Cricetulus griseus: one gene and its partners. The protein of the gene in region 2 interacts with the protein of the main gene of each other region in a biochemical or structural test. Links are inferred from orthologs where the notes say so. Each region holds a gene or a part of one and is shown on either strand. Other genes may lie near its edges. The genes, in order: Sik2, Hdac5 and Zbtb16.

Region 1 (10,594 bases), on a different chromosome or scaffold from region 2:
GAGCTTTGCACATGCACAGTGAGGGGTCTGTGCTCCCAACTCTGTATACACACTCACAGCCATCAGGCTTGCCTTAGTCTGAGAGCTGTTTCAGTTCTATATAATATTGGCCCAGGGGAATGGCTTAAGTAATGGAAACCAAATCTCAGCTGCACTCACTGCCAGAGAACAGGACTTAATCCTGCCCTTTCACTTGGGCTCTGGCCCCACAAGTCTAGAACATACGAAAGCAGCTTGGCAAAGGAATTCTCTAAAACCCTGAGGGCAAAGGGTTGTATCTTGTATCATAAAGGATGGCTGTCCCTGTGAGAAGTCCATGGTGTGTGTTGGAGGTGGGGGGTGTCACTTTCACAGACCCCAAAGAGGTGGTAACACTGTCACTAAGCAGCAGTGCTTTGCTGGCCTTCCTGGCAGTTTAGAGTACTTTACTTCCTATCCTCTATATTACTTGTTCTGTGGAGCCGTCAAGAGCAAGGTGTGCTTGTTTTTGTTCCAATTCCTGTGGCAGAGGTCCTAGTGCAGACTATTTGCAATGATGGGCTTTGTCCTGAGACTACCATTAAGGAGCACTGACCAGGCCCAGTGGGGCCCTGTCTGTATGCAGGCTGTGGTTAGCAGTGTTTCCATCAGTGATCTGTAGTGGCTAACGTGCACTCAGGCAATTTGGGGCGAGGTATTATTTACCCTGTTGACGTCAATGAGAACATATTATCCACTGTCCTTTCTGTAGCTTGAAATGAGCACCAGAGCTCAGAGAACACAGCTACCTTCCCCAGTTTGAAAACTACCCAGTACTCAATGAGGTGGAGACCTGCCTATAATCTCATTAACCTGACATTCACATCACCAGGCTTTTAGAAAACAAGGTGTTTTTATTTTAATTCAGGAGGGCTGGAAACATAAAGACAGTACATTTTCCTTGCAGAAAATTACTCCACTTAAGTTACCATTTGGTACAAAGATCATTTATTAAACTGCATTTTAGGCAATTTTCTAACACTGAGTGGCAGGTTACACTTGGATTTTCCACAGTGGAGCTATTAGGATTTGCACTCAAAATACCAAAGCTATCAAAGTCACCAATTTTTTTTCTTAGTAATTAAAAAGCACACAGAAAAAAAAATAATAACTACAATCAGGTTAAGTTTATCGAAAGTAACTCACAGACCAAGCTGAATCCAGCAAGACCACTCTCTTCCTTTCTGCAATAAGCAAACTTTGAATAAGAAAGGCCTTGCCTTTCTACAAAGTGCAAGTAACATCTACCACTTTGACTTCTTAAACACTGCAGTCCCCAAAGGCAAGCCAACATCCCTTTTTGTCTGCTGCTTTCTCCTTCACAGATTCTGGTAGAGGCATTTTTTTTTTCTTTTTCTTTTTTTCTTTTTAAAACCATGGGTAGTGGGGATGTTTAACCACTTGAATTTTCTTAACTGAGCAAATCCTGGGCATGCAGGTATCAGTTATCTGCACTTGCTAATGTAACATTATGCTATCCACCAGGGTGTTGCTTGTATTTCTATTTTTAAAGCTACCCCTACTCACCCATTTTGGTTCTGAAAAGACCTAGCATTCCATCAACAAAGCTCGTTAACATTTTGTAATCCTGAAAGTGTTTTATAAGCCTTCCTACTTGTCAGGACTTAATTGTAAGGAAATGTGCTGGGTGGTAGCGACACACACCTTTAATTCCAGCACTTGGAGATGGAGGCAGGCTGATCTCTGAGTTCAAGGTCTACATAGTAAACCAGGATATTCTAGGACAGTCAGAGCTACATAGTGAGACTCTGTTTCAAAAGACCATTTAGAAAAAGAAAGGGAGGAAGAAAAGGAAAGAAACAGGAAGGAAAGAAAAAAAAGGAAAGAAATGTTCTACACGACATCCCTTTAGGATAGAGGTTGAGTTCACAATTCCCTGGGCAGCCATCTTCTCTGGGGTTGACTGTTGACTAAGAAAGCCCTCTGGCAATCAGGGAGGAGTGTGTCCTTCCAATATATACTGAACAAAAGCAACGGGTTACATAACTTTGAATAAACAAACCTCCTTAATTGAAGCCTAAATTTTTGAGATTTATTGGACAGCAAGATGGCCAATCTCTGGTGTCTGTGTCTCCTGCTCCTTGTCTGGTGCAGTCACCTGGATAACTGCAGTGGGCACTTAAAGCCAAGCAGCTGTCAGGTGGAGGGTGCAGCCATCTGGACAGCGCCTTGTTTACATAGCTGCCTGCTTACTATGAAAAGATGTGCTGCTGAAGGGGAGGGGCTATGGGACAGGGCTCCAACAAGGAGCAAAGCCAGAAGTCAGGCAACAGAGGTGCTTGTCTCAGCTGAGGTCACAGCTCAGAAGTGGTGATAGCTAAGTCATGTATCCTTTGAGAGCACTGCTTTCCTCAGCTGTGAGAAATACAGATCGGATCTCTCTAGCTAATTTCACAGAACTGGTGTGAGAACTGCAGGAGAGCACTTGTGAAAGTGCTTGGTATGTTGCTGTGAAAACGGACAGGCAAGCTGAGAGGGCAGGCCCTGTAAGAACCATCCTTAGTTAAGCTGTTGGGCAGTAATCCTACCTGTTTGTCAACCCATGCAGCCACAGGACCCAAATCTGCTCACATACAATGTGGACATAAGATGTGGTTGCAACTATGAAGGCTGGAAGTCTTCTAGAATCAATTAGACTGTTGTAACTGGGTAAAAATGGCTAAACAAATAAGTGAGGTGATGTTGGGAGATCAGAGACTTTAGGGCCAAAAGGGCCCTTTAAGGGTCATTGTCTCATTCCATTTGCGCGCATGTGTGTGTGTGTGTGTGTGTGTGTGTGTGTGTGTGTGTGTGTGTGTGAGAGAGAGAGAGAGAGAGAGAAGAGAGAGAGAGAGAGAGAGATGTGTGTGTGAGAGAGAGAGAGAGAGAGAATGTGTGTGTGAGTGAGAGAGAGAGAGAATGTGTGTGTGTGAGTGAGAGAGAGAGAGAGAGAGAATGTGTGTGAGTGAGAGAGAGAGAAAAAGAGAGAGAGAGAGAGAGAGAGAGAGAGAGAGAGAGAGAGAGAGAGAGTGAGTGTGTGTAAGCATTGAAGTGTGTTTTTGTCCAGTGTTGAAACAGGCTGATGATACTGCTCTTGTCTCCCACAAATCACTCTGAAGGTAAGTTCTGTAAAAAATTTCCAGAAGCAACAAAATGATCAAGATCCCTGCCTGGGCAATGACTCCAACTTACTACCTGTTCTCCAGTTTTTACCTTTGATGTCTAGGCACAGAGAGGCCGAGCGGCTCCAGTGGCTTCCAAGGAGGCAGTAGATGCAGCCCCGCTTAGGGGTACAAATGCAGCAAAGGTCAGCCCTGGCACAGGGACTCTGCAACTGCCCAGTGGGATCAGTGTCATCAAATGACACTATATATAGTTTCTAAAGGAGGAGGAATGTCAAAAAATCACCCGACTGTGAATTTTCTTTAAACCAGTAGAGAGCTTAAGTCACTGTTGATTTGAGTGTAAAAGTGTAATGCACAGCAGAGAGACTGGTCCTCATATATTTAAGCTGACTTGTTTAGAGGCTAAAGAACCCCAGAGTAAGGACAGCCTACTGAGTCCCCATGTCCTGATCAGCTGGTCTAGAAGCTGCTAATTTTTGGGTTCCTTCAGCTTCTGGCTCATCACTGTGTCACTTTCCAGCTGAGAACACACTCCTTAGTATCCCTGCCTTAGGTATAATGGCTCCTGGGGTAGAGGTAGAGAGGCCTATGATGAGTCCTTGCTGAGTGCCCTAGTTATTGGGCAGGGCAGAGGGTGTTGCTCCATGGGCTGGGTTGACGGGTGTATGGGGTAGGGGCACTGTAACAGTAAAGACTCAATTATACAAGTTAGGAGGGGGTGTGGCAGGCAAAGGCTGAAGTCCTACCTCCCTGACACCAGTTCAGGATTTAACACTTCTGATCTTGATTTTTGAGATAGAGGGTCCCTGGCTTTCTAATGTTACAGCCACTGCCTCCCAAGTGCTGGGATTAAAGGTGTGCACCATCACAGGCCGGCGGGGACCCTGGCTTTCTTTTTCCTAGGACACAAAGCAAAAGTAAGGGCTTTGCTCAGAGCAGCTCTTAAGCCTCACATCAGTCTCAAAGGCTCTTCCTGGGTTCTCTTTGTCTTCCATTGGGTAGATTCTGGAGGGTTTGTTCCCAAGGTAGCAGGAAGGCAGTTCAGGCAGGCCCAGTCAGGGCAGGGTTAGGGCTGGCATTGGTCAGGCAGCTCCCTGGGAATAGAGGAGTGGGAGCCCGAAACTTGTCTTCCTGTTGCATTAACACCCTTTATTTGCCTTACAGGGACCAGCATGTCAGTAGCATGTAAATACTAGAGACACACTTGCCCAACTGGAGACTGCGGAACTAATGCATTTCCCCCAAAGCAGAGAGTGAAACCTGGATAACAAGAGACCATAAACAAAAATAAAAAAGTACCACACATATTGCACTTTTTGCCGAATGAAAATTTTACCTCATGTTTGAATCACCAGTCTCTTTGGAGAGGCTGGTTTACAAGATAACAAAGCTAAGGGTTATTACTATACAGTAGTGTACACACTGCTGATATGAACTGACAGGCAAGCATGTCAGTATTTCAGAACTGCCTCTCAGCCAGAATGGGCCTAAGCCTCCTTAGTGTTACTTTAGTACTTGGGAGGAGAAATGGCTTGGAAGCTTCCATGGTCACTAGTTAGGGGACAGCAACAGAAACAATCAGGTGAGCTGACCACCATCTGCTCTCACCAGTTTCCATCTCAGGACATAAAGGTAGCCATAGAATGAGGGATTTCTACTTGAAAGGAGTGAGAGGAGCAAACGGGAGCTTACGACAGGATCCAGCATGATGGTTCGTGTTCTTCACCAGGCGACTGTCCTCACCTCCGCTCTGTGTGTCAGTGCCTAACAGGCTGTCTGTTGATGGGTGCTCCCGGCTTCTCTCTGCAGCCTGTAACCTTCTGACAGCCTCTCCGTAGCCCCTCATCTGTCGCCTAACTGTCCTGCCATAGCTGCTAGGTCTCCTGGGCTAAGCAGCTCACAGCCCTGTTGGGGGGCAGGAGTTTATGCCAATCTGTAGCGGTGCTGTTCTTGCAGTCCTGAAATGAGCGGCCCCCATTTTCAATCTGGAAGGCATTTTCATTTCGTCAATATTATAGCGCTTCTGCAGTATGTTTTGGGAAAACATCCTCCTCCAGTCTAAACAGATCAAGCCCCATTTTATAGCTGGCTTATTTTGTGAAGCTTTAAAACGTATTAGAGATCTTAATGAAATGATCTCTCAAATGAAATGATGTTCTTTATCTCACAAAATCATCGATCTTAAGCATGAGGAGGAACAGAAACAAAAGAAACAAATTTATCCTTACTGGATTTTCAGTTATTCAATCACAAAATGACAGTCCCTCCTACTATCTATTCCTGCTGACACCCACAGCCCAATTCCAAGCAGAGCGCATTTGCAAAGCAGCCCAGCACCAGTTGGGACCCAACAACTACAGTCTCTGGCCAGCCTCAAAGATGCTAGCTCGCTCGAATCACCAGCACTGGCAGGGGCTGGGCTGGTGGCCAGGATGGCTCTCCGTAGACTTCCCATGCCTAGTCTTCCCTTGCCTGCCTGGACACTTACTACAGAGAGGAAAGGCAACTTATAGGTGTTTCTAGGTGCAGCATCAGTGTAGTAGCTCTCTTCTTGTGCTTTAAGGAAGACGCTTTGTGCTTAGTGCATTCATCTGCTGATAGGACAAGCCACTCTAAAGAACAGAAATTATAATTTTTATAAATAATACTGAGTTTGTAACACCTGGATGTCACTGTGCAAATGACAGAATTACTTCTCACTAGGTGACTAGCTATAGCATCTATTTTTCAATTCTTCTGATGAGTGAATTAAAGGGTTAAGCTTTTCTGGTAAATGGCTAGCACATCTGTGGTTCTTTGAATATTGCTATAATACTTGAACATTTCACACAAATCAAAACTTTACGGAAATTAAGAATTCTGATTCCCACACAGTGGAAAACAAACTGAAGTGGCTTTGGATTTAGCAAGGACATGGAAACCTTGGTTTCTATAGAAAAGAAAGTTTGATGAGGTGGGGGAAGGCACAGCACTACCACTCACTCACATGGGACATAAACATTGTTTGTGTACCCTGAAAAATCTAAACCCTACATGAAATTGTCCAACTATGCAAAGCTCCACAAGCTCTTAACAACAGAGTGGAGAGCCAGAGGGACTACTACAGTGTAGCAGACAGGAGGTCTCTGGAGACTGGAGGTTGTGCAGGAAAAGCCTGGCTTCCCAGCTCATGGCCCAAGTTCCTTATGCTTTCTGGTTTCTGCTTCAGCCTGCACTGTGTCAGGTCTCCTGCTGTCTCTACAGGCGAGAGCTTTGAAGCCCTGAGTATTTTAACACTGGGCCACCCAGGGACACTTTTGAAAAGGTATTATCACATGCTCCCAGATGACTGCAGGTTTCAGGGGGTCAGTACCAGCTGCTACTTAGTGTCTGTGAAACACTCCTTAGGCTCCACTACTGTGCAGTGGTCTTAAGGACACCCTATATCAACAGCCAAGAACTTATGATTTTGTGACAACACATAACTTCCCTCTCTTCCCTGTGCATCAGATTTCATGATACATCTTGATATGCCTTGAGGCACTTTGCTGATGCTTGGCTTTAGTAAAATATACTGTCTTGTCTTTTTCCCTAGGTGTATGTAGACAACATACACATTTTTCCTGCTTTTACCAAGGTTTTCCTTGGAAGAGAACTGGTGTAAAACCTAGGTCTGTATGTTATTTTATACAGACGCTTGTTGGTACTCCCTTGAGAGCTTGTTCCACTTTATCTAAGGGCATTGGCTTCAGCCTCCAACTATGTTCTAGCCCTTGCCACAGAAAATTGTGTGGTGGGACAGAGCTGGGAGGAGCATCTACCCTAGTCAAACTCTGATTCCAGTTGGAAAACTTGATTTTTCCCCATTAGGGAAAGGGAAAAACTAAGCTTAAGTTTAAAGGGCTGGAATAAAAATAGAAACACAGTTTGCCTTCACTAGAGCCACCTTACTTCCTGTGCTGAGATTAATTCACCAGGACATACCCATTGTGTTGTGGATCCACAGCTTCTAGCATTTCACAATCAAAGAGTCCAGGGAGCTCAGAGAGGGCCAGCGGGTCATAGCTAGATGGGGCTTCCTGAAGTCCTGAGCTCCTGGAACAGTCCGCGCCTGTGAGGCTGCTCTGCTGGGCTCCATCCACAGGATAGTGACAGGGAGCAGGATAGTCTGGTGCAGAGGAGGTGGTGCTTGGCAGCTCACAAGTCTGATAGGAGAACTGTAAGGGGGCTGGAGCAGCTCCTGGCTGCTGAGGTGGAGGAGGTGGTGGTGGTGGGGGTGGCTGCTGCAATTGTGAGGGTAAGGGATGTGGAGCCCGGGGGCTGGGTGTGGAGGGCAGGGGCTGCAACTGCATCTCCGGGTATTGGCTGAGGAAAGGGCTAAATTGCATCTGCTCAGAAGAGGGCTCGAGGACTGGGCTCAGGGGCTGGGTCAGGCTGAATGGTGGGGACTGCTGGGATGGCGGTGGAGTCTCCTGGTGGGGTAGAGCCAGCTGCTGACTTGGTCGAGGGTAGGAGCTCTCTGCTATCTGCATCTGATTAAAATAAGCTTGCAGCTGAGACTGCTTCTGGAGGAAGAGTCGCTTCTGCTGGAGCCTAAATTGACAACACCAAAAGAGCATTTTACATCTCAAGGGAATGTAATTTCAATGTAAATTCAATACCAGGCATTAACTTCACTTTCCCTTTCTTTTCTGTTTTATTTCTGAGAATCTTCTATATACTCTAGGCTGGCCTCAAATTTGTGATCTTCCTGACCTAGTATCCCAAGTGCTAGGGATTCCAGGGATGCACCCTCACACCTGACACCCCATCTCTGTCTTTCTCTTTTCCATGCAAGGGGAATAAAATCAGAGTAAATTCACCACACTGGGTTTTGCCTCTATTTGACTGGCCGCTCTGAGGTAAGTGAGCACTGATGCACTGTCTCTCAAGTTTCTCCCTCTAGAGAGGCTAATTACTCATGAAGATTACTCAGAAAAAGGTAACATCTTGGCCTCTATGAGTGTATAGGTAGGGTGATGATTAGGGCAATTTTACTTTGACCAAGCAGCTTCTACTGGTGGGACCAGCAGGCATGAACACACCAAGGAGAGAGCCTCCTCAGTGTAACAGACTGCTTCTGAAATCTTAGGGCTGACCATATTATCCCAGAGAAATACAAAGACATGACAAGGTGTATAGGGGGCCGCTGTTGCCTGCCAGGCTTATACTCTGGGATTTAACAACCTCATTAACACCATGCCCAAACAGAAAATGACCATGTACCACTGCATGGGCCTCGGAGAAGCAACTAGAATGGAAAAGGACCATACACCAGCATTCTCCAGACTGCCATGAAAATAACTAACTTTACTGGCCAAAGACTTCCTCACCTATGTTCCTGTAGCTGCTGTTCCAGGCTCCGAGGTGGTTCTTTACAATATATTGGACAAGTATTCTGGGCCTTTGGCAGAAGATTAGGCTTCTGGAAGATCAGAAAAGCAACAAGAGCCTAAACATATACATGCTATCAGTTGGATGCAGCTGAGGTGTACCCTTTGGATGCCTGTTTGGACAGTAGATTGACATGTGGCTTACAGAATCCAGAGTTCACTAAGACCCTGGAAGAGGACCAGGTCAGCAGGCCTTGGCATCTAGTTCTGGCCTACATGTTTTCCACTTTTAAAATTCCTTCAGGACAGGGAGGTTCATGGAGAACAGTGAGAAAATCAGACTTAGTTCTTGACAGGAAGCCACAGTGCCTGCTGAGTGATTCATTCTCAATGGGATCTATGCTGTATCGTTTCTTAGGATCTTCATGCACCAGTATAGACAGTCTCGTTAGCATTTTATATATTAGAGTTCCCATCTTATTATTCATAAGTATATTCATAAATATAAAATAAGAACAAGCCAGATCTCTCTTTTAGAGCACTCAGTGGCATATCCTTTCCTACTGTCATCAGAGGGCATAAAGCTAAGTTTGAACATGTTCCTAGAAACTACAAATGTAGGGTTAAATCTACCTGCTTATAATTAATAACGCAGCTACCTTAAATAATGCAAAATGGGTTTCTGTGACGAAGTGAGTTACACTAAGAGTGCCAAGGAGCCCACCTGGAGTCGATGCTGTAGGTACTGGGTTTCCAAGCTCTGTTGCGGAGAAAGTTGAGGATGCATGCTAGCAGAGAGTGTGGAGACACTTTCCTGTTGTTGAGAGACTTCCTCCTAAGGATCAAGGCAGTGGACATTTCAATTTCTATGTGAGAAAGTTTCAATTCATAGTCAAGCACCTTTGCAAATGACTGAATAGAATCTGGGCTTCATATGACCTAATACCCCAAAGCTTTTATCTAACTAGTAGGTTGAATGCTGCTTTCAGAGAATCTATACAGAGCTAATAACTCAACTATTACCTAGTCAGTACTAGAACAAAAGCACCTGCCTGGTATCACAAGAAGGGCTTACATACAATGTGGGCCCAGAATATGATATCTTTGATGCACTGAACATTGGCTCAAGAAATAGCAACATTTATTATATTTTAATGTGACTAATCTTCATATTTAATAGTGAGTTCACATCAAAAGTTTTGTCAAGAAGCTTTTCATTTGGTTGACGTTCATTAACATCAAGTGTGTGTGTGTGTGTGTGTGTGTGTGTGTGGGAGGGGGGTCAAGGGAGACTGAGTCATCCATATATAATCTGCCTGCTTTGTGAACCAAAACTAGACTGATCCTGAAGGCCTCTGTCTGGTGCTGAGCATCTGGAAGCAACATAGCTGGATTTAAGCTGTTAGTGACAGCAGCAAGAAAACCTCTGAGACCTGGGGCTTTCCCATAAAGCCAGCTTAGTTAGGAGTAGGAGGAAACTCTCTAACTGAAAACCACACATCTGTAGGACAAATGTGGTGTTGAGAAGAGCCTGCACACTCACCTGAGGGCAGCTGCTCGAGAGGTCTTGGAGCTGAGGAGCAGTTGATGTTAAGTTAGAGTCTGCCTCTGATCCTATTTGTTCATAGAGCAATTGCACTTTGTTCAACTCCAGAATACCTTTGGTTCTAGCAAGATTCTGAAGATGTTGTCTAAATGCTACAATTCCTATAAAGTACAAACAGTTTAAGAAGCAAAATAGGCCTTTTAGTTATACATTCACACCAGCAAGACAACAACCTTCTTTCATGCCTCTGATTGAAGTTTTCAAAGCCAGAAAAGAAAGCACGTACCTTGGGTAAGGGAAGTGTCTGATGCTCTGCGGCCTTCTCGGAAGCTCACAGGGGACCGATTGTGGACCTCACGTTTCTGCGAGCTCAGAGCCTGCATGGCTGGGTTGGTAGGTCTGAGGCTTATGAAAGGAGATGTCATGCGGGGTGAAGGCTGATTAACTAACATGATGTCCTTCAGGGAAGGGCTGTCTTCCAGAAAGTTCAGGTCCCTTTGGGCAGACCCCATATCATACTCAGAGTCTACACTGTCAAGTGAGGGGTTGTCACT
Region 2 (10,190 bases):
TTCCTCCCATTCCTGGTGTGGTTAAGGTTCAGATAAAAATTTCCATATACTTCAGCTAGGGTGGTCCAAACAGGGCCAGCCTCTTAGTTACTGGTCTGGAAAACAAGCCCTGGGGAAGACCAGGTTGAGTGACAAGCCTCAGCTGGCTAGTCACCTCATAGATAGTAAAGCCAGGCACATGGCAAGGCAGAAGCCTGAGAACGGTGACCTTGAGAGAAAGGTCTCAGAGGGAGTGATCGGCTGGTATTGGGAAAGCTGTACCAGGGGCACCTGGGTTTTATTGTTTCACCATGAACTTCTGGCTCTCCCGGCAGGCAGCCCTTCTGGCCATTGCATGATCACGGGAGCAGCTCTCTGGCCTATAATGACAGCCATTTCTTCTCAGGTGGCATCTCGGTCCCGAAGGTATGACCATGGTATTTATTGTCCACCAGTAGCAGTATTCTGAACCCCAAAGTCTCCACAGCATATTAGTTTGGGAACTAGAGTTGTTGTGACCTGGGGGTGTTGGTTCAGACTCTGAAGTATTTGGATGCTGAAGAAAGCAAAGCCACGTTCATCCCTTGAGCCATTTGTCTCTCTTCTTTCTAGCCCCTGGGTAAGGGTGATTCCTAGCCTGGCTTATTGCACCTTCTTATTGGCAGTCGGCCTATCTCGGGTCTTCCTCTTAGCACATTTCCCTCACCAGGTGTTGGCAGGCCTTATAACTGGTGAGCAACTGGGGTAACAGGGTGGGCCAAGAGGGTGTCTTTGGCAGTGGGAGGACCAGTCTAGAAACTTCCCAGCATTCCCAGCTTTTGTAGAGCCAACCTCAAGGTCCCCGCCTTTGTCATAGTTTGTTTTCCCGCCTGGATGAAAGGGGTAGATCATTTCCTCAAACATCTAGTAACAGTTTTACATCCCTCTAGGTGCTGTGCTTGGCTGGCTTATGGCTCCACATGTGCCCATGGAACGGGAACTTAGCTTCTATGGGTTGACTGCTCTGGCCCTTATGCTGGGTGCCAGCCTCATGTATTGGACTCTTTTTACACTGGGCCTGGATCTTTCCTGGTAAGTCCTGCTTTGGCGTCTGGGCAGCTGGACCTTGTATCTAGATGGTAGGTCTCTGATTCACTGTAGCTATAAAAGGGCACATGAACTGTTCCTAGACAGATGTGGAGTCAATACATGGGAGCAGGTCCCCAAGGGAAGACAGCCAGGAGCCAGTGGCTGTCTGGATTCCAGTCTCTCCTGGTTAAGACTCTGCTTCCTCACAGGTCCATCAGCCTGGCTTCCAAGTGGTGTGAGCGGCCCGAGTGGGTGCATTTGGACAGTCGACCCTTTGCCTCACTGAGCCGTGTCTCGGGAACTGCCCTGGGTCTTGGCATTGCTTTACACTCTCCCTGTTATGGCCAGATACGGCGGGCATACCTGGGAAACGGCCAGAAGATAGCTTGCTTTTTGCTGGCCATTGGGCTGCTGGTCATCTTGGAATGGCTGGGCCACCCACCTCAGATCAGCCTCTTCTACATCTTCAACTTCCTCAAATACACCCTCTGGCCCTGCCTGGTCTTGGCCCTTGTGCCCTGGCTGGTGCACACATTCAGTGTCCAGGAAGCACCACCCATTCACTCCTCTTGATGTCTCTTGCCTCCCTTGCCGCTCTCTTGCCCAAAGACAACACTCCTTGACCACCACACTCTAAAAGGCAGTCCTTTTCCTGGGCTCCAAAATTGGCCCGGCTCACAGGGAACTTCATTTCCTATCTCATGTTCTGTAATTTTAGCCCCTTTTTTAAAAGGACCTGTTTCCCAAGGAGGCTGTTTCCTGCCTTCCCCCAGGGTCCCCACAAAGCAAAAGCAGAAGCAACCAGCAGGTGTGGTGGGGATGGAGTGCTGGGTTCCTGACATTGACAAGCAGCTCAGGAAAGTCTCAATAAAGCTCTTGAAACTTGTGGATTCCTTTCTTGCCTATGCTCACATCTCCGTTGACTTTGCCTGCATGAACTGCATGTGCACCAATGGAGCCTCCGGCCCCTACAAAGACAAAGTAAACAGGGGCTGAAAAGTCAGCTGAGTCCTCACCCCTCCTCCCTGACAAGGCCGTAGCAGAGATCTCTTGAGATATGATGGCAACAATCCAGTGGACACTCCCCCAGGAGAACAGGAATCTCCCACCCTAGCCCCCCCCCCCCGCACCACACACACACACACACACACACACACACACACACTGCCTCAGACAGAATTCTAGTCCAAGGCTGAAGAAAAGGCAGCATTTTGGTTAGGAAAGAAATGAGCACTTTTACTCCATGTGGGAACCCAGAGAACAGACATTATTCCCAGTATTTACACAAGGACACACAGTGTGGCATGATACAAAATACTTAACTAAAATCCATGTCCAGGGGGACAGAGCAGGAGTGGGTTTACATGAGAATAAGACCAGCCCATGGTGAAAGTGAGGCCTGGAGCCCTGGGCTCAGTGCAAGGATGATCAGCACACAGACACACTAATAACTAATAACTCCGTAGCTCCCTCAACCCTGCTCAGGCCCCCATCAGGATAGTATGTAAACAAATTGCTGGGCTCTTGGGATGGAAGGAGAGAATGTGGTATAGGAGTTGGCCCCCTAGGTGCCACGTCCCATCTTTGGTTTCCTACAGGGTAGACCACGCTCACTGGAAGCCTGTGGGCTGCAACCTCTGAACACAGGTTACTGGAAAAGAAGATGTACAGCCCCTAACCCCCTCATGCTGAGAGCCCTGCCCTGGGCTTCTGGGCAGAGGATTCTGGCCTTGTCTATTCTAGAGCCACCTCTTTGACCATACCCAGGCTTCAAAGCAAAAACAATCCAGAAGGAAACTGAGTCTTGATCCTTTCACTTGCAGCAGGCTGATGGCTGAAGGAAATCTGGTCCAGAACATCAAAGGGGCTTGCTTGCAAGAACTTGAAGACCCCACGTAGTCTAGCTTCTCCTCTCCCTATGCTGGGCCAGCACAAGGCAGGAAGGTCAACAGAATAAAGTAGAGAACCTGCTCGTGTATGCAGGTCCTCCTGCCCGCCCCAACCCAGCTGCGGGTCACCCTGTAACCCTCCGGGGTCCTGGGAGTGTGAAACAAGAAATCTGGCCACAAATCTAAGGCCCACATCTTGGGCACAAGTCTGCAGTGCTGCATGAATCCAGAGAGGAGGGGGTTTGCAGAATGCTGAGGACAGAGAGGAAGGGGGAGTTAAGGGTAGAAGCCTAACCTCCTCCACTCTTCGTCTTAAGTAGTAGTGAATCTTCCTGAGGAGGTGGGTGTTGGGGGGGGGGGTGTGGAGGTGAAGTTATTAAGGCATTTCCCAAAAGCCAGCCCAAGCCAAGGCACCAACTTACTGTTCCCATCACAAGTAGCTCCAGAATTGGAGGTTCTGCCCAGAGTACTGTCCAACGTAGAAAAGAGTACAGAGACTTGGGCATGAGATAACAACGCTATCTCAGAGAAGTGAATGCTACACCCAACCCTCACAGCAGGAATGGACTCCTAAAGCTGGGGCATGGACCATGTGTTGGTGGTAGGAGGGCTGAAGCAGCTTGGAAGAGCAAGTCTGAGAGACCCACACAGCACACGGTGTTGAATGTGTGACTTTTTGTTTTTAATAGAAAAAATAAACAAAATCGCAATGATGAAGCCCAGAGGAATGGGGGCCAGGGTGTCACAGGGTAGGCTCCTGCTCCATGGGCTCCTCTGCTGGCCTGTGGGGACAAGCACAGGGAGGGGACTCAGTAGAGAGCATTCACTACCTTACCCAGGGCAGGGAGATGGGAGGTGAGATGCTTACCTGGGGCTGTGCTCTTGAGTGGCAACAGCCTGGGCCTGCTCAGCGCCCACAGAGAGCAGGGCCATGGCGCTCACAGTCTCGGCCTCCTCAGTCTCACCTGCCTGAGCCTCCTGCAGAGAGCAGCCCAGACCAGTGGCAAACCTCTGCACACAGCTCCAGTGTTTGCCTGTGCAAAAGGGACAGACAGGTTCAGGGAGAACAGACTGGTCTAGACATACCTGCTAGCCCTGGTACCCCACTCCCCATGTGCCCCGCCTGCCTGGCAGGTTGAGGTATGAGCCCCTCTGCCTGTCCCCACGCACTCTGGATCTCGATGACTTTCTCTAGTGTGGCAACTGCATTGATGCTGGGTTTTTGCTGCAAAACTGCTTCATCCAAGGGCTGTAGCTGCAGAGAAAAGAAGAGCAGGCTTAGAGTGGGGTTAGGGGCAATTGCCTAGCTCTCCAACTATCCCCATTCAGCCCAGACAGTCCTGTACTGGCAAGCACAGGCTTTTGGGAGGAACCCTAATCAGCCTTCCTTGGCCAACTATTTCTCAGACCTAGGCAAACCTCAAGGAGCCCGTGAGGTGGATATCCCACCTGTTGTTCCACGTCTGTGTGGCCCACTCACCTCTACACTGAGCAGAGCCGAGACACAGGCCTCAGAGGCATCACAGATGGCGGTCAAGTCATGGCCTCCCTCCAGGGCCAGCACCACCCGGCCCCCTGCCAGTGTCATGAGCTGCCTGGTCAAGTGGCCAAAACCTTTGTATGGGAGTAAAGAGCAAAGGATAAGTGATAAATCGGATCAAAGAGAAGAAGGAGAAAAAAGGTAGGACAGCAGACTTCAGCCCCAGTGCATCTACAATGAGATGAAATGTCAGTGAACTTAACGGAGACAGGCTAAGATGAGTTGTGTTTCTGGTAGGTCAAGGCCAGTGAGCTCCAGTGGAAGATACTTTGTTTGCTACTCCACTTCTACCTGCTGGGCCCATGGCGGGGTTGGCAGATGAGTGGGTAGAGCTACTAAAGTCTTAGACTTACTCCCTGCAGTGTCAACTTATTCCCTGTCCCATGTGCCTCAGTGTTCCACACCCTCCCAGACCCCTAGTAGGCTCACATCTGGCGGTGACAGAATAGCCACCCAGTGGAGACAGATGTCCTTCGACAGCATCAAACCCAGCGGAGACTAGGACGACGTCAGGTGAGAACTCGTGGGCAATGGGCATCACCACTGTCCTGTAAAGGGATGGCCCAAGCTAATGCCAGCAGAGGCCAGGCTGAGCCTTGCCATGCTCTGTTCTCCATTGAGGCCATACCCCTCCGCCACCCCAACTGAGTGCCTGCTGCCCTTGCCAGCTCAGGGTCCCACACCTCCTTTGGCTCTTCTCAGTCCCCACCTGAAGGCTGTTAGGTATTCCACGTCTCCGATGGGGGGATCCACACCTCCTGTCCATGCCACATTAACATTGTACCCCATGCCTGGCCCTCCGCCAACCTGGCATAAGGTAGGAGAGGTCACTATCACTGCCCTGGATCCCAAACACTGCTCCCTACCCCACCCCCCCCCACACCCCACCTCTGTTTTCCCTGACTAGCAGTCAGATCTGTGTGGTCCTCCCACTAGGAGCCCAAGAATGCCACAGGGGCCATCACTATGAATGGACTTCTGTGGCTTCCTGCCAGATCCTAGCATGCTACCTCCCAAAAGGGCTCACATGAAGGCCCAGGGGTTGTACCTCTTCAGGGGCCCCAGAGCCTGGAAAGAAGTTCCCATTGTCATAGCGATGCAGGGAGATGTAGAGCACAGAGGGGTCATCGTAGAATGCTTGCTGGGTGCCATTGCCATGGTGAATGTCCTAATGGGGGTAAGTGCAGGGTGCTTTGGGCACCAGTCTAAGCTCTAATCCAAAGGCTCACATGCCACCTGTTCCCCACCCACCCTCCCATTAGCTCTCAAGATGAGCCCACCAGTGGCTCCAGGACTGCGACCCTGAGTCCAGGCTCTAGAGCCATGGGATGAATATGGTTTATCTCCCTGCAGAACCCATTTCACTGACGTGCAAGGGAAAGTCAGGCTGGCAAGGAATTTAACACAGGCAAATAGATTCTGAAGAAGGATCCCAGGATCCTTCTTCAGAAGGATCAACATTTCCATGAATTTGTTTTCTTTTGAGGCAGGTAGTCTCACTAGGTAGTCCAGGCTAGTCTTGAACTCTCAATCCTCCTGCCTCAGTCTCCTAAGTGCTGGGATTATAGTTGTGCACCATACCTGAATACATGATTTTAGATCAAAATTGGATTTCAAAAATTCTATCCTTGCTGATCAACTGCCCAGTGATTCCTCAAGCACAGTGAGCCGTTTGTGCCCTTTCCCCACCATGACAGCAGGAGGCTGAGGAACGCCCACAGCCTCAGGAACAGAGGTGTGGCATCCTTGCTAAGTAACCCAACAGTGTCCTCCTCACTTAAAGAAGTGGAGGGCTACTTTGCACTGCCAGAGGTGGCTATGAGCAGCACAGGGTCAGCTTTCTGGCATTCAGCAGCCCCTAGGGTAAGGGCAAAGGGGGAAAGGGGTCTGACAGTGTAGTAGCACCACCCCTGTCCTTGCTGCTCAGAGTAGGTCATCATCGGGATGTTGGATGCTGCTAGGGGAAGATAAGGTAAATGAGGCTAAGAACATACTGGGGTCCCCCAGGGAGGACCCACCCTACTGGAATGAGAGCACTGGCCTGATGATGAAGCAAGAAGGATACAAACTTGTCAACATGTGAAGCCAACCAGTGAGCCCTAAGTGCCTGCCGCCCAGAGGTGGAGTGAGCCGCCTGGAGGCGCTTCTGAAGGCCTTCCCTGGCACCGCCCTGCCCATCCCTGCCCAGGCACCCAGCCTGCTGCCTACCCAGTCCACGATGAGGACCTTGCCCACGTTCAACTTCTGCTGCAGGAGCTTAGCTGTGATGGCTACGGAGTTGAAGAAGCAGAATCCCCTGAGGGGTGTGGGGAGGAAGAGAGGGCAAGGAGGTCAGCTTGAATGATGTGAGGTTTGCTTCCAGTGAAAGAGAGGAAAAGCTGATGGCAGAGGGCCAGGGTCAGGGCAGAGTGGTACTCACATGGCTGTGGACTCCTCAGCATGATGTCCTGGGGGCCGGATGATGGCAAATCCATTCTGAAGTACAAGCAGAAGGGCAACTGTCAGGAAAGTCATGCAGCCAGGGGCAGGGTAGATACAGGAGAGAAGCACAAGCCAGGCAGGGATGGGAACACAGAAATGCACTTTTATGACTGTCAACTACAGGCCCCCAGGAAACAGTTGTCTCTCAGGCTTTAGTGCCTACTTGGTTCCCCATGGCCCTCAAACCATGGCTGTCCCTCAAGCTTCTCCCCATCCTAGCACTAAGACTTTAAAGTTGCAAAGGACAATGTCTTGATGAAGGGAAGTCAGTGCTTCCCCTGAGCACCTGCTCCTGAAGACACAGGACCCAGGCAAGGGGCATGGAGGCCACAAGTATATCCTTACCTTGAGCTCCCCTGCAGCCACCTTGAAGGCCAGCTCTACCAGGCAGCCCACTGCCATTCGCACAGCACTGGAGGAGTGCATCTCATTCCATACAGTATCACTGTCCACCTGCGGGGGCAGGAGATCGGGCTTCAGTGTGCCCTCTGCAGGGGGAGGGGAGGAACGGGAGTGGGCACCAGAGAGCAGGCCAGCAGCCATGGGGGCAGGGAGGAAGGAGCCAAGCCGGGGGAGCCACTTGCCCACTCCAATCACACATATTCAACTCACCCCAATGCCCCCACAAGGCAGCATGGCATACATCTTCTGGCTGATGGGCCCTGAAGGAAAGAGGGACAGAGATGCTCTAAAAGGTGTCCCAGTTGCCAGTTGGCATGGGCTATGCAGTCCATGCCAGCTGAGAGCCTCTATCCTCTGTTCTGGGGAGATGACCTATCTCTGGAGGCAAACAGTAGGGACATGACAGGTTGGGAAGAAACACAGACCACTACCACCAAGTCCACCTTTATGCCTGATGCCCAGTATATTCAATCTGCGTCTAGGCAAAAGACACCCTCTTGGGGTGTGACCCCACTAGGACTGCTGTCTACTCTGGCTTGGTGGTCTTCATGACAGCCCCATCACACTCAGACTGAGGACACACATGGGAACATGCCCTGCAGCTCACCAAGCAGCTTCTTGCTGTCCAGCTTCTGCCGGTTGAGGGGGCTGGTCCCATAGAGCAAGGTGTGGTACTCAGAGTGCACTGTCTGGATTTCATCCAGTGTGGCTTTACGACCCCGGATCCGCTGCCAGGGGAGGTCAAGAGAGGCCAGAGAGCGTTGACAAGGCTCGACTTGCTTGACAACTACAGCCCAATGCTCACAGAGCCAACCTCCAGGAGAGCCAAAGGATGTGGAGTAACTATGCCTTGGCCCTTGAGAGACCCCACTCCAGGACTCTTTCCCAGGTTATCTGGGGACCCTGAGGGAAGCAGACCACAAGGGATGGAACTGGGAAAGTCTCAGGACTGACTGGAGGGCTGGGGCATGGGAGAGGCTTTGCTGGAAGGGCAGTGAAGGCACCACTCAGATGGAATTCCCAGCTGAAGGTAGGGGCTCCCTCACCTCACACTTGCTGAGCAGGCCAGTTTCCTGCAGCCGGGACCAGATGCTCTGGATGCGGCCGGCGTGCTCTGGGTGTACATGTGTGTTCCCGCACATGCACTGGTGCTTCAGCATGAACGTGTCATAGACCACACCTGGGCCACAGACCCTTGTGTCAGCCACAACTGTTCTGAACCCTACTGCACATCCTGTCCTAGTAACTATCTCTGACTATCCACCAACACTCACCTACATACCCTCTCTCCTCTTCAAACCCAGCCTGGCTGCTGCTGGTCCCAATCTCTGTCCTCTGCATCCCCTATACCGTCCCCATGGGACCTTCCTCCTTTTCCCCATCATGTCTGCCCATGCTCTGTTCCCCACTGGTGAGACAGTCAGTAAGTCTGTGCCATGTCAGAACCGAGCATGTGGCAGCCTTATGGGCAAAGGCCTTCTGGGTTCTACTGAGGCCTCACTGCCAACCCCACAGGGAGGAAGGAGACCAGGAGGCTAGAAGGGCAAGAACTAAAAGAAGCAGTGGACTCTCCACCCAAGGCTCTAGGACTTGTGGGATGATGGTGCAAAAGCAGGTGCCCTAGGTGGAGGGTGGGGGCACAGAGAAGACAACGCTGCCCCCGGGAGTAGGAGCAAAGCTGCCTACCCTCTTGCTTGGAGAGAAGCTGCTGCTGCTCCCATGAATAGCTGTGATGCACACGGAGATATGAGGACTCCTTTCCCCTCCATGCAGTGTGTACGCAGGTCCATGGATGCTATACATCCAAGCCCCTGGTGCATGGTGAAAGGATGGAACGGGAAGTGGTGGGGCTTACCTGTGGTGAAGAGGTGCTTAGTGGGCTGGTCTGGGGGGCTCTTCATGCTCCCAGGAGCAGCAGGTGAGGACTGGGTGCGGCCCAGGGCCTGATGAGGCACAGTGGCCAGGCTGAGGGGTGCCTGGTACACCTGCAGGGGCTGTAGCTGCTGGGCATCTGTGAACAACTGGAAAGGAGTAGAAAGAAGCCTGTGTAAGGCACAGCCTGGATGGGACTGGGTACAGGGTCCTTTCAGCCTGCAGAGGGCCCCCAAGTCTCCTCCTTCCCCCACCTCCTCCCACTTGCTCCCTCCAGGGACAGGAGACACTGCAGCCTTGCCATCTCCTGCAAGATGGAGAAGATGGGGGATGTGATGAGTCACTCCAAATAGTAGCATTGAGGTAAGAGGCTGAGAGGGACGGGGGTGGGTGGGGGCGGGATGAGTCAGGCCTAAGGGCTTGGGGCTGTGTCCGCAATGAATGGAGCGCGCTAGGCTCAAGGCACACTGTAGTAACAGTGGGGGCGTGTGTGTACACAAGCTCGCATGCACGCAGAGACCAACGCACAACCAGCCGACACAGGCACGAACGCAGAGCCATGTGTATGCACACACGCACAAGCACACTGCAGTTAAGAGACAAGGGCAGCCACAAAGGGAGACTGGCAGGCAGGTACAGCTCAGGGACCATACAGGAGCCCCCTCCCACTCCCTCCTGGTCTCTCCTCCCCTTCCTATTCTTTAGAAAGCTGCTCAAGGCCTGGCAACTGCACCACTGGAGACTGAAGGACAGTCGGTAGAGACCAAGTGCATGGGAGGTACCTTTTTATAACCAGCACTGGACTCCTCTAAGTCAGGGCCCTCGTCGGGACCACTCTCGCCTTCCTCATCCTTGACCTGAATGCAGTCTTCGTCTTCCTCCTCTTCATCCTCCTCTTCTTCTAGGTCTTCCTGGGTGCTCTCGCTCTCTGTGGAGCCTTCCCGTGGCATGGTCAGGGC
Region 3 (10,594 bases), on a different chromosome or scaffold from region 2:
GCCATTGTGTGTTCTCAGGTGCTTGATCATGGCTGAGTAGTCTCGGGAGCGCTGGTGGCAGAGTTTGCACTCGAAGGGCTTCTCACCTATGGAGGAGACAAGATAGGACAGGGAAATGTGAGGACCACTTGAGCTTGTTGGAGAATGTCTATCCTTCTAGCCTTGCAGTCTCCAACAGAACTTCCCAATACAACGGCTGGACCATCCAATATGGCAATAATTGATCACACAGGGCTGTAGGGTATGGCTATTGGGGTACTGCACTTCTATTTCATTTTGTGGCTATTTCGAATAAGCTAATGTGGCCAGTCACTGGTAGTTAGTAACTGCCCATGGAGCTTCGACCCTTGTCATACTATCTTAAGGCAGGGAGCTTCCCTTCTAATTAAGGAAACATGTATTGTGAAAAGAGGTAGTGGGTCTCTGAAGTCCTTCAGGATGCTTGGTCATAACAAAGCTCTTCCATAAGAAACAGGAGGATGGGTGGAGTCCTTTTAGAGTTACAGATGGTAAGGAGGGGTAGGGGAAATCCAAGGAATCCCATCCTTCAAACACATCACATCTGGGGCCATCTACACACTAACTCTCTAAGGACCTCCCCAGACTTTACCTCTCATTCTAGGGCTTGTGCAGAGGGGTGGTACAGGGAACCTAGGAGAGCACAATGACACCTTAGTCTTCAATCTAGACTATCCCTTCCACCAGAGTCCCCTGGAGCTGAGCAGAGATGTAAGGGAACCTTGTTTCAATACAGTAATTAACTGGTCAGCCATCTAGCTATCAATACTCCTCCGTGCCGAGGCCCCGGCAAATAATGAAGTAATGAACAGCCAAAGTGATCTAACTATCGACCAGCTATTTACAATAGTCATCGCCAATGCATTTAATGATCTGCCCACTAGGTCACATCCCACAACAAGAGACTGAGGAAACCCCAGAACTCTGGGATATCCCTTGGGCTACTTGTGTTGTCAGCAATGAATACCCCATCCCTTCCTGTGGCTTTAAGCCAGAGGCAAGAAAAACAGAGTGCAGGCAAGAAGAATGAGTTCTGAGAACAACTCTGCCTTCCACTCCTGCTGGTTACTTGCCCCTCCCCAGGCTATTCCCTCCCTTAAGCCAACTGAGGTCACCATGCCCTCCTTTGGACTGGGTGCTGTCCCTACTAGTCAGAAAGGGCATCTTCCTTTGCTCTGTTTCACCCTCAGCCTCACAGAAAATGCTACCTCCCCGCAGCTGGTGGACTGCAGGGGGTGGGTATTTAACAGCCAGCTCTCCAAAGACACATAGCTCTATTGCTATGCGGTCAATATTCCCACTGGGGCCCATTTTAAGCAACCAAGATGATGTCATTGAACTTGAAATGGGGAAGAAATAGAACAGGTTTTTCAGTTAAGTAGAGGCCAGCTCTAGGCTCTATTGCCTCTGATTCTAAACCCTTTCTACCTGTCTGTCCTGAGACCCCAGCAAAAGCAGAGACTCACATTTCCTCTGTGTAAAAAGGAATGTGGAAGCACTCGGACATGATGGAACAGTCTCCTATTAAATACATTGGCTCCTTTCTTTTCAGAACAGACCAGAACCAATACCACAATTTCCTGACCCTTATCATAACTTAATGCCCTCTGATTCTGCCTCCAACCATGAATGGAACAAAATGAAACCACTCAAACTTCACTTTTCACTAATCTGGCCAACTTAACCTTAATTCAGGATTTGGAATAAGGACCATATTGCCAATAGCACTCGTGGATGATTTTGTTGTTGTTGTTGTTGTGATTGCTTCAGGGGACTGACTGGGCCCATGAGACGTGCTGCAATTGGTTACCAATATCTGCCACACCTGATTAGTGACAATGTCGTTGGCCTTGAGAGAAGGATCATGGTACTCAGACCACCATATCTCTCTCTCTCTCTCTCTCTCTCTCTCTCTCTCTCTCTCTCTCTCTCTCTGTATTCGTGTGTGTGTGTGTGTGTGTGTGTGTGTGTGTGTGTGTGTGTGTTGCCTTCTGAGGCCTGAAGAGGGTGCTAGGAAACAAATTCTGATACCCTGGAAGAACAGGAAGCACTCTCACACCATCGAGCCATCCCTCCATATTATCCCTTTTTTTCTCTGGTTGAACTTTGAACTGTGTTTACTTGGGCTTCTGCTTTGGACCACCTGCTCCCAGTCACCACCCAAGTCCCAGAGCCAGCCTGGGGCCCATCCCTGCCCTGGGTACCTGTGTGAACCCTGTAGTGCGTTTCCAGCTGGTGCTTGAGGCTGAATTTCTTGCCGCAGCCATTGCACTCATAGGGTTTCTCCCCTGTGTGGATGCGCTTGTGGTTCTTGAGCGTGCTCTCATCCCGGAAGCAGCTGCCACAGAACTCACACTCATACGGGTGGTCACCTGTAAGGACAAGGGGTTCAATCAGACCCTTGCTTCCTCCTGCCTCTGTTTCAGGGACAGCAGGGCACATTCGGTGTCCTCAGATTGCCTATGCTCACCACCTTCAAAGGTGACCTGACTGGTCCCCACAACATGAACAGAGGTTCCTGTGTTTTTACCCAGATTTCACTATAGCCCTAAAGCCATCCATGGGATAACAGCCAGTCCCAGAAGAGAAAGCCTGCTTGGCTCAGCAAAGAGCAGCAACCATCAGGAAGCAGGGTCTTGTGAGGGTGGAACAGAGCTGGGCTTTGAGACCTCGTCTTACACTACCTCCTCTCCCTTTCCCTCTGGTTTGGGGCCAGGGGCCACTCCAGCCTAGCTTCCCCAAACTCAAAAATACCCCTCCGACTCAGGGAGCTTCTTTTTGCTTCCCAAATGTCATCTGCTCTTTCTGCTACTTCACCAGTTAACTGACAATCCCTCTGTTTCATTCCCACTTCTTTCCCTGGTGAACCCCTAGCCATCCTTCAAAGCCCGGCTCATCTACCACCTCCATTTGGATGCTTCCCTTTGGTTCCTCAGGCAGACTAAGCTATATTTCCTTCTCTGTCCCCAAAGAGAAGAATATTGAACACTTTGGGTCTTTTACTCATAGAAATACGTTTAAAAGAATTCTTTCCCGTTGACATTGCCCATATTTGGCATATTCTTACTGCTAGCTGAAGACTTCACAGAGATCATGTCCATGGAAACTCTCTGATGAAAGGTGTGCTTATTTTACAAATGGGGCAGGGGAGTTGCTTAGAGATACTTAGCCACTGTCCCAAGGTCACCTAGCTAGAAGTAGATAGATTGGAACTTTGGCTCTGGTCTGGCCCCAGGGTCTGGACACTGGTCACTTACCACATGGCTAAGTGACACATTGTATTGTATTGACTAACAGGGCCACCTAGAAGTGTTTCTCCCCCCCCCCTCAGTGCTTGCCCAGGAATGACTCAGAACCAACTCTTGGAGAATTCTGGGTACTGGACTGTGAGACCAGCCCTTCCTCAGCCTAGAATCATGTCCATTAGTTTAATTTTCTCCCCTGGACACTCCACCCTTCCATCCCTGTGGCCCAAGGGGGTAGGGAGTGGGGTTAACCACCTTGCATTTCTGTAACGGAGGTGTCGAGCTTAGGGGATGAAAGGTGAGGACTTGAGCTACTTATTCATTACAGGAGTGAAGGCGCAGACAATAAAGATAGATTGATCACCCCAGACTTTGTTCATGAATATTTAAATATCGCTGATTCGTCTTGTCACTGTAATTACAATTTCTCTGGGCTGCATCTCCAACAACCACAGTTTATGGTAAAGAATGGCCCACTGTATTTCACTTGTTCCTCTGCAGATGTGCGAGGCTGCCAACCGTGTAATGTCCTCCGCATTTCATACATTCTCTTCAGCTGCTGAAGGCTTAAGTCATCCACAATGACCTACGTTTTTTCATTATCCCCATGTCAAACTGTGCTCGTGCCTCGGCATAAATTGTCCTTCTCCTTATAGACTCGTAGGCCTGTGCCTTCACTTCCTCTTTAAAATGATATTTTACTCTCTCTGCCGTCTCCTTTCCGTGGGCCGCTAACCAAACATCCCTCTTCCTGAATGCAGGCCCCTGAACCCACATAAATTCTCACCTCCTCCGATGGCTTGGAACGGTTTCTGAGACTCTGTGGGGAGTGGTTGTTGGGTGGTCTGTTCACTGGCCAACAAAAAGCACCGAGGGCAAAAGGGGTGGGTGGGGCACCATTAAAGAAACCAAAGAACCATCCCTTCTATCCAGTCCTCACCATCTTTGGGGCACTGTCCCGGGTCAGAAGCTTCGCTGACCAGTGAGCTGGAGATGGACTGAGTCCTGGAGTTCTGAACTGGGGAAACCAACCCTTGTCTCTCACTACTAGCACTATACCGAGGACCTGTTCCCAGCCCCATCAAAGCCAAGAGGCTAGCCCTCACTGACACAGGTGCTACTCTACTGTGGGTCTATCATAGTAGAGCGGGGGCAGTCTGTGTATAAGACTCTCTGTCTGCACACGTGGCCCCGTCTGGTCTGACATCTAGCTCCCCCTCCTTCCTGAATCGGCAACGATTACGACTTTAATCAAAGATTCAGTATCCTCATTAAGATATAAATAAATAAATAAAGCAAGGGCCACATGAGACTTCAGCCGAAGCTGGTAATTAAAACGTACATCGGCAGTCACCCAGCCCCCTCTCCCCCTGCCCAGGAAGAAGGGGCTGCCATGAGGGAGGGCTGGCTGCCTGTGTGTGCCTCTTGCTTCCAGAGGAGGGCCCTAAGAGTTTAACAAACAGCAGAGGGGTTTGTTTGACCAGATTTTTATGAATTTAATTACGAACTGGATCACATGTTAAATGAGTTTAAATAGGAACTCTCTTGAGTCTGCCCTGGGAAAGAATAAAACACATTCAGAAAATGAAAGAAAGAAAGAAAAAAAGACAAGTCATCAAGACTCATACCCACCCTCACCTCCCACCCAGGTTTTACAGCTCAATGGTTACCAGACCTACAACCCTCACCCTGAGAGCTAATCATGTCAGGCTGGCCATAATGTACATAAAACTGGCGACAGAAGTCAAAATCCAATTTGTGGTATGTTGATTAACTCTGTAGACGCGTTAATGAGCTTGACATTAAGTGCAGGACAAACGAGACTAATTAGAGCCCCTCTGGCCTACCCAAGGCACCTGTGACCCTTCTTCTTCCCCAGTTTGTCATTACATAGTGGCTTTCTTACCTCTGGCCAAGCCCAGTGTCATCCTTCCCACCCTAGTCCCAGCCCCTGGGCTCCTTGGATCCCTTTCTCTTGGTCCCTCCCTTCAGTGCAGCTGAGAGTTTATTATATGATGAGCCATGTGAATCAAGGATCCATCAATGCCAAGAGCATGGCTGGACTAACGTACCAAACACAGCTGCTGATGCTAAACACCGGCCCCAGCAGCAAATGGGCCAAGAACAACAGAATATTAATGAGGCATTGTGTCGGGGGTGTGCAGAGCCTGTGCTGGGCTGGTGTGAAAATCAATGGGTGCTTGAATGTGTGAGCGCAAGGGGCACACATGTCTGTGTTTCTAGAATAAGCAAGGGTTTCTCCCTAACTCTGTCCTTGCTGGGGATCTGAAGCATAGCTGACGCAGGGGTAGGGCAGGAATGACATGGGCTAACTGAACTCTGAGAAGTTGGTATGGGCAAAATAAGTTGCATGTTGGGTGGACTCAGTAGGGCCTGGATCATCACATCTTGTGAAGTCAAGTGACTTGACCCAGTGGCATACCTGGAAGTGGCTAAAGGAGGCTTGCCATCTTCCCTAAGACTGAACTTAGGGACCTGCTGAGGGAGAGAGACATTGATGGGATGGTGTCTACATCTTACAGGGAGATTCGTATACAGATACTGTAGAGAAACTCATCGAGCGTATACTCCTTTCTCTTTGGTTCCTTTTGCTGGACCTTACCAGCTAAGACCTCCTCCTTTCTACTGATTAGCCTGAGGCAGTCCTAAGCATCTTGTGGGCCATTCACATTTGGTAATGGTATGGCACTGTGCTCCTCTAACCAGGATGCTATCCAGAACCTAGAGCCAAGGCAGGCTCCTTGGTGAGAATGCCTACAACTGGCAAGGTAGTCCAGCTCAGCCCCTGAGAGTAAAACTTACTCATCAGAGCCTGTCACCCATGTGAGGACCAGCCACACGCTCTACCCGAGCTATGAAAAGGCTCTGAAGAATGAGATTCTTCCAACCATCCGTGAAGCATGCAGGGAATTCATGTCCTCTCTAGTAGACCTGTGTATGTACTCTGCTACATTCTTTCACAGAGATTTAATCCCAGATCTCCCAAAAAACAGATCAGGAACATACACACACAGACACATATGATTCAGAAAGTGCCATTCTTTCACCCCGGGACAGTAAGAGATGATCTCATTTTACTTTAGGGCAAAGAAAGGAATTAAGTCATCTATTCCTCTGTTAGGAAAAGACCAAAGGTTCCTTCAAGGCCTTCTGACACTGGATGTCCTATTCCCTAAAGCTAGAGGGTAGTGGCAGGGATAGGCTAGGACTGGGCAACTAGCCCTGCCTACTTGACTCACACATACCCTGTCTTTCACCCCATTGTGTGAACTGGCTGAACAGGGCTATCTCTTGGCTTGTTGTTCAAATACTCTCATTGTCTTCTCTAGACAACATTAAGGCCAAAGTAGAGGCCCCCTGTCTCTGTTGTGAAGGCAGGATGAGTTCTTCAGTGTGCCTTCTGGTGCCCTGAGCTGACTTCAGTGCTATTCTTGGATGGATTGAGGAAGTGGTGGGACTGTAATAGAGTTAGGCCAGTTTTCTCAAAATGCACTCTGGTACCCACTGCATCAGAATCCCTTGGGAACACTTATTAGTGGTGTTGGGATCTAGAGCCCATCCTGGACCGCTAAATCACAGTTTCTGAGAGTAGAAATCAAGAGTATGGTAGTTGTTTTTGTTTTTTGTTTTTTTAATGAATATTTTCTGTGCTGTGTGTGGAAAGCCGGGAACAGACAGACTGTCTACAGGTGCGGGGGTGAGTTGGGAGAACTGTTAACATTTCAATCTCTATGGGAGCCCTTCTGTGTCCAACTTCAAGTAGAGAAAGGCTATAAATGTCTCAACCTGGAACACGCCCCTTCCTCCCCCATGCCATTTTGGAAGTTAAACCCAGATATAACAGATATAAGGTCTAGAGATGCCGCCCCCCACCCCCCCCCCGACCAGCCTACCTGTGTGTGAGCGAAGGTGCCGTTTGAGAGCTGTGTGGCTGGGAAAGGTGCGGTTGCACTCACTGCAGATATAGCTTCGCACGCCTGCATGGACCTCCATGTGCTGTTGGAGAGCGCTCTGTGCCTGGAAGCGCTTCCCACACAGCAGACAGAAGACAGCCATGTCTGTGCCTGTGGGAGACAGTAGTGGGAAAACCTCAGTAAGGCAGAGACCCAAGGCCAGATTTTCATCCCTGAAGGTGAAATCAAATTCAAAGTCAAACCCAGGGTTAGCACAGGCCATGCAATGTTGACTGAGCAACCTGAATATAGCTCCAGAGGGAAAAATGCCAACAGGTGTCCAGCATCCAGGAGACCTAAAGATTAGTGGAGAAAGACCCAAAACCACACAGATGGCCAAACATGTTTCTACAAGTGTCTTGAGTCCAATGTAGGAGAAGGTGGGTGACTGGGTGCCTGTAATCACAGGAAATTTATAGTATCTGAGACAGGGGTGGGAAGATGAGGTAGAACCTGTGAAAACCAACAATAACCTGGATCATACGGGTTGGCCATTGTTGTTAATGTAACTCTCTAAAAACCACAAACTTCATCTGAGGAGAGAGAAGCACAGTAGACTAACTCATTCCAATCTCCAAAGAATCTGCAGTTGGGAGCAGTGGAGGGATTCATTCATTCATTCATTTCCTGAGGTTAGCTGTAGACAACGTTCTTTTTTTCTTCTTTCTTTCCTTCTTCCTCCCTCCCTTTGTTCATTCCTTCTTTCCTTCCTTCTTTCTTTCCTCCCCCTATTCCTCCTTCTTCTTTCTCTTTTTTAAAGACAAGGTTTCTCTGTGTAGCCCTGGCTGTCCTGGAACTAGCTTTGTAGACCAGGAGACCTCAAACTCAAATCCTCCTGCCTCTGCCTCCCCAGTGCTGTGACAAAAGGTGTGCCCCACCATCGCCTGGTGAACACATCCTTCTAACCACTTTCTCATTTAGGTAATCAGGAATCTCGAGAGCCACTTCATTCCACAAATAGTGCTGTGATACTTTCTACAAGGAAGACTCTCTTTGAGGGCTGTGATGATGGAAAAGCATACTGGTATACCTGCTCTAATCTCAATACCACTCAGCACCCAGTGCACCAAGAGAACATACAAGAGGATGGAATGGAGTCTGTGAACACTTAGGGGAGCCAAAACTAAGTAGAGTAGGGATGACAAGTCCTAACTGTGGAAAGAGGGAGAAGGTGAGAAGAGGTTAAAGACGAGCCGGGAGCCAGATTTTGTGGGGTCCTGACCAGCCATGCCAGTTTCATCATAAGACCAATGGGAAGTTGTCAAAGGATTTAAAACTAATGAGTCCCATGAGATATTTGTTCAGTTCTGCCCTCCCACTCGGCTGGTTGACCAGTAGCCCATGGGCCTCACTGAACCCCACAAAGGCAGATTGCTATTTTCTGTTCATTAACCCCTTCCTGATGTTACACTGGACCTACAGCCTTCCAGCTCAGTCTCAGCTCATAGCTCCTTGTCTGCCATTTTGGATCTCATCTCCCCAAGAACATCAGCTCCTTCTGCTTGTCTCTCTGCCAGTGTCTGGGCAGCATGGCCTGTGCTCAGGAGCATAATGCTGTCCCTCGTGTTAGGGACACAAACAGAAAAGGTGGTCAGGTCTGTCAGTCTAGTCCAAATGGAGGGAGTGTCAGAGCATTTGGGCTGCTTTGTGGGGACATGAGGAAGCTTCCAGGGGCAGGTGAGAGAGGAAGGGATGGGACAATGAAGAGCCTTGCTGCTTCCCTGACTGGAAAGAGCTAGGGCCAATGGGAGGGCTTGTTCTTGCCTCCTCAGGATCATACATGGTTCAGTTTGGAATAAAGGTGGGGACCACCACTCATCACCATCCTCTCTCTTCTCACAATTACCTGATGGCCCCTCTCTGTGGACACTGAAGTCTAAGTACCTGCAGCCATGCTTCAACTACCAATAACTAGGAGGGCTGCATGGGGGGAGAAAATGTCCTCCAAAGCTCTGAGGACAGAATGGAAGGAGAGACAATAAAGGCCATTTTAGCTAGGTGCTTTATCTGTGCAGTCATCTCATTTAAAACTTGCATCCCTGTAGGGTGGGCTTTCATAGCTACCTTCTTACAAAGAGAAAAACAGAGATGAAATAACTTGCCTAAGGTCACACAGTGACAAAGAGGTAGAATCAGGAATCTAGAAATGTCTTGGTCTATTTGATTCCAGAAATCACTGATCAGACTCCCTTTATTTTTACTTTATTTTTTTTTGAGAGAGAGAGAGAGAGAGAGAGAGAGAGAGAGAGAGAGAGAGAGAGAGAGAGAGAGAGAGAGTATTGTGTGTGTGGCACTGCTGGAGGCCATAGGTTGACATCAGGATGCCTCTCCATCTATTTCATCAAGATAGGATCTTTCATTGAACAGTTTTGGCTAGGCTAGCTGGCCATTGAATCATGGGATTGGCCTGTCCCCACTACCTGTGTTGGGATTACAGGCACACACAGCCATGCCTAGCTGTTATGTGGGTGCTGGGCATCCAAATGCAAGTCCTCATACTTGCACAGCAGGAGGGAGCCAGTGAGATCTCTGGGAGAGATCTTAAGTCCTCAGCCCCATCCGATGGAAAAAGACATGCTGAGAGAAGCAGTCTGCCTGGCAGAAGCTTCGAGGACTGACACGGAGTCCTTCAGTGTCCAAGCAAGCCTGGTAAACACAAGGAGAGTCCACCCACAACACGTTTTAACACACAGCACATCAGTCCCAGCTTCTTTAAGCTGAGGGTTCCCAGCACCTGCACCCTCTGTACCCTGGACTCTACCCCACAGAAGGCCCCAATTAGGCCAGGTGTTCAAACAGCTGCCTCAAATCAGCCTGAGGGAGCAGGCTTCTTGAACAGCCGGGCCTTTTACCAGCCAAGACATCTTACTCTTATTCTGAGATCCCCAGTATAGAAAACAAGGGTGAATGAATGGCATTCCAGGAGGACACCCGGAAAGGCACCACCTAGAGGAGCAGACTGAGTCTCCTGTGGCATTCTGTCCCCTTGCTGTTCCTAAGATGCTTGGAGGCTTCCCTAGTGGGTCACCTCCATCTCACAGAATGGCCTGAACTTGATTTGTGTCCATTGACCTGTCTCACCCCATTACCAAGTGATCACCAAGAGGCTGAGATGGAGCAGAGAATTTTAGATATCAAGCCTGGGGTGGAGGGCACCGGTCAAGAAATACCACCCAGAGCATGGGTGAGACAAGGGTGACTCTGCAAAAGCCTCAGAAGAGATTTTGAGTTCTGTTCTGAGAAATGGGGTCCATCTGAGAAGCAAATGTAGGAAATGAGATACCCGTCCCTGGCTAAGGAAACACTCCAGATGGATTTCAGAGCAGGTAGAACAGAGGATGGAGAGAAGCCAGGAAA

The links.
Region 1: of the proteins of Hdac5 (region 2) and Sik2, one has a biochemical effect on the other in vitro, tested with the Homo sapiens proteins (2 studies listed by BioGRID). The link is inferred for Cricetulus griseus from reciprocal best matches to the Homo sapiens genes HDAC5 and SIK2.
Region 3: the proteins of Hdac5 (region 2) and Zbtb16 form a complex in vitro, tested with the Homo sapiens proteins (2 studies listed by BioGRID). The link is inferred for Cricetulus griseus from reciprocal best matches to the Homo sapiens genes HDAC5 and ZBTB16.

The regions. Positions count from the first base shown.
Region 1 is NC_048597.1:162,658,004-162,668,597, forward strand, and holds the end of Sik2 (serine/threonine-protein kinase SIK2), read right to left. Parts: coding exon 10,327-10,594; intron 10,202-10,326; coding exon 10,038-10,201; intron 9,330-10,037; coding exon 9,219-9,329; intron 8,587-9,218; coding exon 8,495-8,586; intron 7,716-8,494; coding exon 7,107-7,715; intron 5,756-7,106; coding exon of another isoform or gene 5,731-5,755; exon of another isoform or gene 5,324-5,730; coding exon of another isoform or gene 5,308-5,323; exon of another isoform or gene 5,129-5,307; coding exon 5,041-5,128; 3' UTR 4,451-5,040; downstream 1-4,450. Other genes in the region: Ppp2r1b (serine/threonine-protein phosphatase 2A 65 kDa regulatory subunit A beta isoform), read left to right, coding at 3,225-3,290. UniProt on the Homo sapiens protein: Serine/threonine-protein kinase that plays a role in many biological processes such as fatty acid oxidation, autophagy, immune response or glucose metabolism.
Region 2 is NC_048600.1:115,898,046-115,908,235, reverse strand, and holds the end of Hdac5 (histone deacetylase 5), read right to left. Parts: coding exon 10,014-10,190; intron 9,381-10,013; coding exon 9,215-9,380; intron 8,540-9,214; coding exon 8,406-8,539; intron 8,088-8,405; coding exon 7,967-8,087; intron 7,620-7,966; coding exon 7,570-7,619; intron 7,411-7,569; coding exon 7,303-7,410; intron 6,952-7,302; coding exon 6,896-6,951; intron 6,773-6,895; coding exon 6,685-6,772; intron 5,645-6,684; coding exon 5,525-5,644; intron 5,284-5,524; coding exon 5,186-5,283; intron 5,025-5,185; coding exon 4,906-5,024; intron 4,551-4,905; coding exon 4,417-4,550; intron 4,192-4,416; coding exon 4,107-4,191; intron 3,971-4,106; coding exon 3,805-3,970; intron 3,719-3,804; coding exon 3,679-3,718; downstream 1-3,678. Other genes in the region: G6pc3 (glucose-6-phosphatase 3), read left to right, coding at 315-405, 592-710, 909-1,050, 1,257-1,620. UniProt on the Homo sapiens protein: Responsible for the deacetylation of lysine residues on the N-terminal part of the core histones (H2A, H2B, H3 and H4).
Region 3 is NC_048597.1:160,431,732-160,442,325, forward strand, and holds part of Zbtb16 (zinc finger and BTB domain-containing protein 16), read right to left. Parts: intron 7,349-10,594; coding exon 7,178-7,348; intron 2,391-7,177; coding exon 2,223-2,390; intron 87-2,222; coding exon 1-86. UniProt on the Homo sapiens protein: Acts as a transcriptional repressor. Transcriptional repression may be mediated through recruitment of histone deacetylases to target promoters. May play a role in myeloid maturation and in the development and/or maintenance of other differentiated tissues.